Drosophila melanogaster: one gene and its partner. The protein of the gene in region 1 interacts with the protein of each later gene in a pairwise test. Each region holds a gene or a part of one and is shown on either strand. Other genes may lie near its edges.

Region 1 (5,024 bases):
CATCCTCGTCTTCAGCCTCGTCCTCATCCTTAACCCGAGAATGGGCACTGCCTGGCATCAGAGTGCGCACCGAGGGCGTCTCATCCTCCGGAGGCGTGTCCACTCGCAGACTTAGTTGATTTACCTCGGCTACCGTCTTGGTGATGACCACTTGGCTTTCGTCGTCAGAGGAGGAACTCAGGTAGGACACCACTCGGGCGCCCAAATAGCGACGGGCGTGTGGCTGTGGGCGCGATGCAGGTTGCGGATTAAGGCTGAACTCGGAAATAGTCAGCTCCTGGTGAGGAGGACTTACGTTGCCGCTAAGAAACTCTTCTTTCACATCGCTCTCGCTTTGGGTGTCGCTCTCCCCCAACAGAAGAGCGTCACTTGGTTTTGACTCCTCTGGCTCAATATACTCAATCTCTTCTTCCTCCACCTCCACCTCCGACTCCGAGTCCTCCTCGAAGGACTCCTCTCCATAGGACTCTTCATCTGAGTGTTCTCCAGCCCCCGACATCCTGTATGCTTATTCTTCGTCGGTTCTCTGATTAAGTTCCTTTCGTCGTTTGTAGTGTATTTTGTTTTTTTTGGGGTATTAGCGTTGTCACCCGTGTGTTTTTCTTTAGTTTGTACTGAGAACTGCCGAAACTCCTAGGCCTTTCAAACTTTGAATTTTGATTTCAGCTTGAGTAGTTGCTATTTGTTCACTGAGTTTGATTTTGCAGCCATTTCGATGCGCTCTTATGATTGACACCTTTGCGCCCACATTGGGGCAGGTGCTCCTCCGTCTCCGGTCTACCCCAAGTTGGAAAAACTGGGCGCATACCGCGCTTCTTGGCTCAACTTTGACTCCTTGGTTGCATTGCGGTGGCGCTGCCAACCGTCGACTGGAGCTCAGGTGAGCGGAGTCCGCATGCCCACCGCTAACCCCTCGTCGCAGCACCCACCACTTGACACCTGGGAATTTATTTATTCTAGCCAGCGGTTGTCCTGGGCAACAGAGCAGGCGCAGGCGGTTTGTTGTTGGTTGCCTCAGCAGCACTTTGCCGGCTCTTGTTGCGTTAATTATGGAAAACACTGAATAAATTAACCAACAGCACTGGAAATTGATATAAAGTGATATTGAAATAATACAAAAGTTATTCAGCAAGTATATAGCGGATTTACTTTTTAAGCACCGGGTTTAAGCTGCGAACACTAGAACTTTTTGCCGGATATATAATATTGATTTGTGTTTATATATTTCTTTTTTCTCAAGACCATATTACTTTTAACCACTAGCTTAAGAATTACAAGTTTAAAGCCCAATGATTCATATGCTTAATGGATTAAAAGTTAGGAAATTGAAATTGAAGATTGGATTTTCTAACTTGGTCATAAATGTATTATAAAGTGCAATAATAAACTCTGAACAATAAATATTAATCCATACATATATCTATAATAGTTAGTATATCTTGGTGATTTTATTTCTTCTACTTGGTAAACTAAACCATTATTTCCTGCTATGCATTTTCAAATATCTTAAACAATTAAGAATCCCCATTAGCTCCATGTGGCGCCGCCTCTGTGGTCAGGAACTTGCGCTCCAGCACTTTCTCTCCCTCGCCCAGCGACTCCATTCTCGGGGTATTTTCTCTGAGTGACTCTCACGAAATCTGACAGTTGAATGAAAGGCGAAGCGGCGTCGAAATCCGCCGCCTGCCAGTTGCAAATTGTAAATATTGCGAGCGGCGATGGCAGTGCTCCCGAATCGCTGCTTCAAATCCTCTCCAGAGTCATGTGGCCATAAGGCAGTGCGCATGGGCGTTGAGAGTGGCCCCCTCGTGGGTACGATTCCCCCCTGGATTTCCTCGCTTTGAGCGAAGCGGCTGCTGTTGGCCAGCGGGCAATTCATTTGGCCAAGAAGCTTCGTGGCGTGCGGGCGTGTTGCTGAGCCGGAAAATGCGCGCGTAAACCGTGATAGATGTGTGTGAAAATTGTGGCCCGCAACGGGAAAATTGGCAGAGCAAACCAGCAAGTGTGTAGCGTGCCATGTGCCTGTGTTTGTGGAGTGCGTGAATGAAGTGGCACGGTATCGTAGCGGAAATCGTTTGCTGGCCCATCGACTGGCCAGCCAGTGCGGGTAATTAGCGTGGCTAAGAAAAGTCAACAACTAGGCCAACTGAATAACCGGTGACAAGCCCTTCAAGCGTCAACGGCTTTAAAAACGCTTACGAAAAAAATGAGTGGAACGTGCGGCGTATACGCAATATGGGCTTGTAAAATCAAGCGCAAGAGTGGAATAAGCGGCGTATACGCAATCTTGACCAGCTTTTATAACGGCAACATACGGTGTATACGGCATATACGCAAATTCTGCTTCCATTTGCCGTTTTAGTTGTTTAATCAATAGCAAATAGTTGAGGGAAGTTTCACTTTTTGGCAGTCGCTCTTGCCTTTGTCCTTTGCATGCGTTGGTTGATGTTCCTTTGCAACAGTCGCCTAAGTAATTGCAAATTGCGTGCCGCAAGTTTACAAGTTATTTCCGTTTCCTCGCTCGCTCGCTCTCCCTCTCTCTTCCGCGCCCCATCTCTCTTTTCGGGCTGCAGCAATTTGGCTAAGAGCTTGTGACGGCCGCGGGGGTTGCGGGGGCGGCTAGGTGGGTCAAAAGGCGCAGCCACACGACACCAGCAAACAGCCGCAGCCGCCAACCCACAACCCACAATCTGCAACCTACAACCTGAGATCTCCGACTCGAATCCACCAACCCGGCCAAGAGCCGCAGTCAATGCGGCTAGACCAAGAGCTCCAGCTCCAGCTCCGGCATCCGCAAGTCTTGGCACGGATCGGCTTGGCCATGGGTGGATGGAAACACATCCGTTAAGCCGCCAAATACCCTGTAATTGCGAAGAGTTGTGATAGAAATAGCACTGCGTTTAAACAAATAGCACAGCGTTTAAAAATCAACTTAATAGCTATAATAAGTAAACCAGATGTGTTGCGAAATTGTTTTGAATAACAGAAAAAATAGTGAATCGCCGTCGGATTTTTCAATCGATTTACGAACCACATTATTTACTTAGTTTTTTGTTAACTTCTGCAGCCGGATGTTTTTACTCAAACAAATTGTACGACAAAACAATAAAATATAAAACATAAAACTTAAATAGCACGGTCATCACTTTTTGAAGGAAATGAATTTAATAAATTTATTATCATTTTAATTGATGCATCCTACGTGCAACAAACTTTGCTTTTGCTCGCTAAATCATTTTGCGGTTGTGGCTCGAATGTTCAGTGAAAGCGAAACACGATAAAGTTTACCATTTAGCCTTTTTTATAGGCTACTTTTTCAGTTTACTTTAATTGTTAACCAAAATAAACGTGTATATTTGGTATGGTTTTGAGTGGATATTTGTCTTTTTTATAGGCTACTGAATTTTTTATAGATATCTGTTTTTTTAAAGTAAGATATGTGTAAACTTAGATCAGGAAAGACTGAAGTTAATCAAATTTACTTTGATGTAAAGGGGATAACCCGATTTAGACATATTCCCTCGTTTGGCTTTAACATAACTAATGACTTGGCTGAGTTTCAAGGGTATGCAAAACTTCGTTTTCGACTTGGGGCTAACCTTCCACGTTGCCGCTCTATTTTTTTTGCTTATCGATTTTTGACGCTTGACTGACGTCGGGACTTTGGGCCAAAACTCGAGCCGTGAGCCGGCTAATAATGCTCAGTAGGTCAGCGCCGCGGCAGTTTGAAGTGCGTTAGAAGCAACAGTGGCCAACGGCGGGCTGAAACGAAACCGAAAACTGGCACAGGCACATTCACAGCCTAGAAAGAGATGGAACGAGCTATGCGAGCGAGAGGGAAGACCGAACCGCTGGCTCTACTTGAGGCGTACAAAAATAGCAGCTTGGTGGCTCACACACACACTCACACACACACACCAACGCAGTGGCAACTTCAAACGCGCTTGGCCTACTTTTCCTGGTAATGGGCTTGGGACGTCAACTGCTGTTGGTCCTGTTCCTCCAGCTCCGTCCCAGCTCACTTGGCTTCGCCTTGCCACAGACCACTTTCCAGTGCCTCCGACCACCGCAACCAAGTTAAATGAAGCACACTCGCAAGTACATGGGGAAAAACAAAGCAACCCGATAGGGAAAAGAACTTTTATTGTTTCTCTCCAATATTTTACTAATTACATTTTGAAAACTTCTTTAGATAATGTTGCTTTCTAAGATAATTATATGTGGAATGTTCTTATACAAAAGGTGTGAATGAGAGTAAGCAGTTAAAGCAATTTATTCTAAAGTTTGCACATTTTGAAATAGGTAATGAATATTTGAATTGCAATTTTATGAAGCAAATAGCTGGTATTTGAGACACTAAACTTTTCTCAGTGTAAAATCCAGAGGGTGGTGTTCCCGCTACAGCAAATGACCAAACCGAAGGCACAGAGTGAAAAGTTGCGGTGACGGGGAATCGAGTAAGAGTGAGTTGTGAGGAGGAGGACTCAGAACAAGCGGCGTTAATCATACGCATCGTGCGCCAATCCGTGTCCTGCGAATGCAAAGTCAATCAGCGTTTAATTGACAGCTGCAGTCACTGCCAGATACGGCCAACAATGGCCCGATCCCCGAAAGCCGCCCATTGAGCGCACTCGGAAACAACAATTAAACCGGCAACCCACTGAACAGGATTTGGTTTCGGTTACGCTCCTGCGTCCTGTTGCTATGTGCTATGATGCAGGACTTTAGTGCTCCTCCGGCGAGTGGAGGACTTGACCGAACAAAATCCGTTTGGGAAGTATTTTTGATTAATGATTTCAAAGGTTGGCGTCAGAGTTGTGTGCAAACACTGTAAATATGAAGTAGTTAATTGAATGGAAGAAATATACTATGGCTTAATGAAGAAATCTTAAGAAATTCCCTAATTTATCAGTACTAACATAACAAACATAATTGGAGCGCACAACAGGCAGAATAAAATAGGAGCTATGATCTGAATTTTAAATCTACTATGCAAATGATGTATAATTTTGGTTAATATATTT
Region 2 (5,073 bases), about 14 Mb from region 1:
TGCAGTATAAAATATAAAAGTCAATGCCTATTTGCTGATCACTCTTGCTGTTTTTATACCCGTTACTCATAGATTATAAGGGTATACTATTTTCGTTGAAAATTATGTAACAGACAGAAGGAAACGTTTCCGACTATATAAAGTATATATATTCTTGATCAGGATCAAGATCCAAGTCGATCTAGCCCAGTCCGTCTGTTCGTATGAACGTCGAGACCTTAGGAACCATTAAAGCTAGAAGGTTGAGATGAAGCATACAGATTCTAGAGACCACCCTAACGCCCACAAAACCCCCCAAAACTGCAACGAGCAGAGCTTTTAAACAACTTTTGGATATTTTTTCATAATTTTATTAGTCTTGTAAAGTTCTATCGATTCGCCAAAAACTTTTTGACACGCCCACTCTAAAGATCTAAAACCACCTAGAACTACCACGACCACATTTTTAAAAAAATTGTTGGATATTATTTCATAATTTTGTTGGTCGTGTAAATTTTTATACATTTTTTTTGGCAAAAAATTGGTTGCACGTCGATAGACATTGCCAAGACAAATAAAAATGTAAAATGATATCAACAAATTTTTAAAAGATTGGGCGTGGCAGTTTTGTGCGGCTTGTGGGCTTTAGAGTGGGCGTGGCAGCATGGGTCAACAAACTTCCGCTGTGTCTTCGTTTCTAGAATCTGTATGCTTCATCTCAACCTTCTAGCTTTAATAGTTTCTGAGATCGAGACTCTCACGCGGACAATAAGACGGACAGTCGGACATGGCCAGTTCGACTCGGCTATTGATCCTGATCAAGAATATATATACTTTATATGTTCGGAAACGCTTCCTTCTGCCTGTTACATACTTTTCAACGAATCTAGTATACCCTCTTACTCTACGAGTAACGTTATAAAAACCTTTCGCAGCTAGCATGTTAAAATGAGGAAGGGGGTGTATTATGCTCTTACAGATTATTTGATAAAATGCTAAGTCTAAAAATAAATACAACATCCTCGTAGCCGTAGATTATTTGATAAAATGCTAAGTCTAAAAATAAATAAAAAATCCTCGTAGCCGTATGTAAGACGAGACAAAAATAAATAAAACATCCTCGTAGCCGTATGTAAGACGAGACAAAAATTAATTGCAAATTTTTTAGGCGAAATCGGGCAATAAAAGGGAGCAAGCAAATCCAATCGATAAAAGAATAAAAAAAAACGCTTTAGAACTGATATGCCAATGTTCCGTTTGCCTTAGCTCTATGAAATCTGACTGTCCTACGGTAATCGATTTTCTCTTGTGCCGACATATCAAGCACCGCAAAGGGGACCGTGGGGCATAACCTTAGTATCGAGAACACGACACAGCTTTTTATAAAATAATATCAAGCCGAAGAGCTAAAATAAATTTTGTATAGCCTAAAGCCTTACGATTAATATCATTCTTAAAAAAATTAAAGAACTCAACTTTCTAGCCGTTTTTTATTTTATATTTAGCCAAAAATGGTTAAAACCATATAATTTACAGCCGCTTGTTGATTATTTAATGAGTATTTATTATAACGTCAACTGAAAGGGACTTATTGTGCGATTTAATATATCCTCCTGCTGATAATAAGTAAATATACTGTGGACAGACCGTTGGACAAAATCTACTGGACGTTAGTATTAATAGAGCTATAATACCAATCAACTTATCGAAGTATCGACGAACCGATATCTTGTTCCCGGATTGCGTGAAAATACTGAGGACAGACCGTTCGACAAAAAACCTGTCATTTAGTATTAATCGAGCTATCGATATCTTATATATACTAAAAGATATCATTCAGTATTTTAACAAACGATCCACTGTCGGTATTTCAAGACAAGCCAAGTACGTTCATATTTCGTTTTTTCGTCAGGGTGGGTGTGCGCAAAAATTGGTCGGCAAGCAATTCAAAAGTAAGAGCAACCGGAGCGAACAAAAAAGGGAATAACTTACTAAAATCTCTGAAAGAAAAATAAAAAGACTAACGGGCTCGGCAAGCTGTGTTTATTTCGACAAGTAATTATATACTTGGAGTGCAAGCAAAGGCGAAGGAAGTGGAAGGACAAGCAACGAAATCGTGCTCTTATCCGTTCCTGTACTGTGTCTCTCTTTCGCTGGGAGAGTGTGTGTATTGGTGTGAGTGTAGAAATCTGCAAGAACAGCAACGCCAATAAAAGTGGAATCGAGAAAAAAAACGCAGTGGCGCGTGAATCACGAGCAATCTGAATCATCTCTCTACAAAAATACCTGTTTCTGTTGGCGCATCATTTATACCAATTAAATCCTAAAGGATGGAACACCACGAGGACAACGCGCAGTTGGACAACTACTTGCAGAACCGCCTGGCCGAAAGTCTGCAAATTTGCGGAGGCGCCGGCGAGCATAATCCTCATCTGGCAGACGCTACTGGGGGGAACGGCTGCGCTCCTGGCATTGCGCCCTCAAAGTCGGACGAAGTCGACGGGGAAGAAGACGAGGAGTGGAAGTACATACACGAGGTGCGGCAGAGTGAAAAGCTTCAACAGGAAAAGCTTCCACTGACAAAGGAAACCGGCAATGGCTTCGGGCCCGGACGGGACTCAGATAATCAAGTTCACGGAAACGGAGCTGCCGCTGTCTTCAATCTGTACGAAGAGGACGTGGAAGTGATCAAGAACGATGGTGACTTCTCGACAAATTCTAACACCACTACTTCAACGGACGAGGTAGTTGCCAGGCAGGCCCAGGAGCCAAACCAGTTGCCGGAGCAGCTTCAACAGCAGCAGCAGATAGAATCACAAGGTGTTCACGAGGATCCCCGTCAGGAAGATGAGGATGAGCACAGCTCCGTGGCCACTACTTATGGAACAAGCAGTCTCAGTGAGAACAACTCCTCGCCTTTAGATCAGGAGGAGGTCGTTATGGTGGCCCAAACGGTTGGTCAAGAGCAGTTAGTGGACTTCGACAACAAGGAAAACTCCTATTTTGTTAAAAACCTGGAAGAAAACCACTCGCAGCTAAACCCCAATGCTGTGGCCTTTGTGCCTGGCGTTGGCTCACAATCATCCTCTCCCCTTCCTGCTGCTGAAGATCCACTACCTGGTGTTCAGCCCCGCCCATTTCTACCGGGAGGGACCCTTGACGATTTGGTGGCGGAAAGTCCGCGGAAAGAATTCGCCCGAATCAACATGGATGGTATTGCCGTGCCCGACGAGCGGGAATTTGACATTGAAGCGGATATGCGACCCCACGAGTTGGAGCAGGAATCGGACACTTTTGGGGCAGGACACCTGGAGATGCAGTTGTTGAACGGTATAGGAACCGCTGACCAAGCAGCCTTAAGGGATGTTCTGGATCACGGTCCAGAGACAAGTGTCGATATGGAGTTGCCACTAGATCAGGTGCCCAACGACGCCGACATCATGAAACAATCGATTTATGCCGAGCACAACTCCTCCATTGAAGATATCTTAAATTCCGTGCAACCTTTGCCAATTCAGACTTGTGACGATAAGGAACTAATTCATGTGGAAGAGAAAGAACATGTCTCGAAGTCGCCTTCTACAGAGGAGCTCCAGTTTCAGTCCGACTTCCCAAACAATCAGGAATCGCACACATTATTCAATAACACTGAGCAGGATCCAATGCAGGCTTCATTTTATTTGGAACATACCTCTCAAAAGGCTCAAGAGGGCTGCCAGGAGCAAATGCAGCTTCCCGCTGAGTGCTCTGATATTTTTGCCGACCAGAGTTTATTGCTAGACACCAGTGCACCCCAGTTGAGCTCCGAAGCAGACTCGCCTGTGGCGAAATTGGAGCTGGAATCCCAGCAAGCTGGCATTGTAGACATCACACCTTCGCCCCTTTCTTCCACTGCAGAGAAACATCTGGTTGAAGACACCAAGGAGCTAGTTGAGGAGTACACGTTGGATCCGGAATCCCATTTCTTTGGGGTTGTTTCATCTCAAGCTCCTCTACAGGTAAGCTAAAAATCATGAGCAAATTTGCAAGATCTATTATTATACACACTTCATTTGAAATCACAAGTTTCTAAGATAAATTATTAACTTTGTTGTTATACTCTTTTGTGTTTGAACATCGCATGTGCATGATACGCTACAGCGCCTGTGGACTTCATTCATTCCCAAACTCTCCTTATAACTCTCTTTCTTTTGGGGCTTACTTTTTTTAAAATCAATCATTTATTCGATTACAAATGAGTAGTATTTAGATTCAAAGTTTTAACTTTTAATGCGCAGCCTAGTTTATAACTTCATAACTACTTTTGTTTGTTTTGCATACTTAGTAATGTTCTTTCTGATGATTGCTGCATAGTATTAATTAAATTCTGTTTTAATGATTATTGAGGTGTGCTCTTTTTAAATTTTATTTTGTCCTGGGGTGCGTCATTTGGCTCGCTCTCGCGGCACTGTCGACATTGCTGTTTCCTACGCTCTCCCTTTGTTTTTTGCATTTGGGTGGGGTTGCTTTTTGTTGTTGGACGTGTGTTACTCAATTTTTACACCCAACAGGACATGCAAGTGTTTCCATTGAATGGAATATGGTGTTGGGTTTTGAGTAAGACAGAGTTTTGTATTTATTTGGTGTTATGTCTTTTTTTATTTCTAAAGTTAAAGGTTTGTCCTTATATTAGTCTAAAAAACTTAGATTGTTGCAGTGGCAATGTACAGTACAAAGTTATATTGGGAATGTTTGCAATCCTAAGTAATATAGGTAAAAGGGTTTTTTTCCTTCCTTATACTAATGTACAGGTGTTATTAAAAGCCTTAAGTTAAAGGTTATTTCCTGTGTCCCATAAATATATATTAAAACGTAAACTAATAAACTGTTACCCGAAATTCCTATTTTTATGTTTGGTTTTCGTTCGTTTTTAAGATTTCGATGAGCTGAGTTCGAATGAAGTTTAGCTCTCTCGCCAGCTCTCTTTCTCTTTGAGTCTGCAATCTGAGTAGCAAAACTTCTAGCTCCAACAATGAAAAGCTAATGGCGTTGCCAACCGCTGCAAGAAGTAGCAGTCTTTTCGCTTCGTTGCAAGTCCCAATTGAGACTTTAATG

The links.
Region 2: the proteins of CG15803 (region 1) and Map205 interact in a two-hybrid assay, tested with the Drosophila melanogaster proteins (one large-scale study listed by BioGRID).

The regions. Positions count from the first base shown.
Region 1 is NT_033777.3:18,357,601-18,362,624, reverse strand, and holds the start of CG15803 (uncharacterized protein), read left to right. Parts: upstream 1-1,896; 5' UTR 1,897-2,107; intron 2,108-5,024. Other genes in the region: hmw (hemingway), read right to left, coding at 1-223, 296-499.
Region 2 is NT_033777.3:32,065,233-32,070,305, reverse strand, and holds the start of Map205 (Microtubule-associated protein 205), read left to right. Parts: upstream 1-1,864; 5' UTR 1,865-2,309; coding exon 2,310-3,977; intron 3,978-5,073. UniProt on the Drosophila melanogaster protein: May play an important role in the regulation of microtubule assembly and interaction.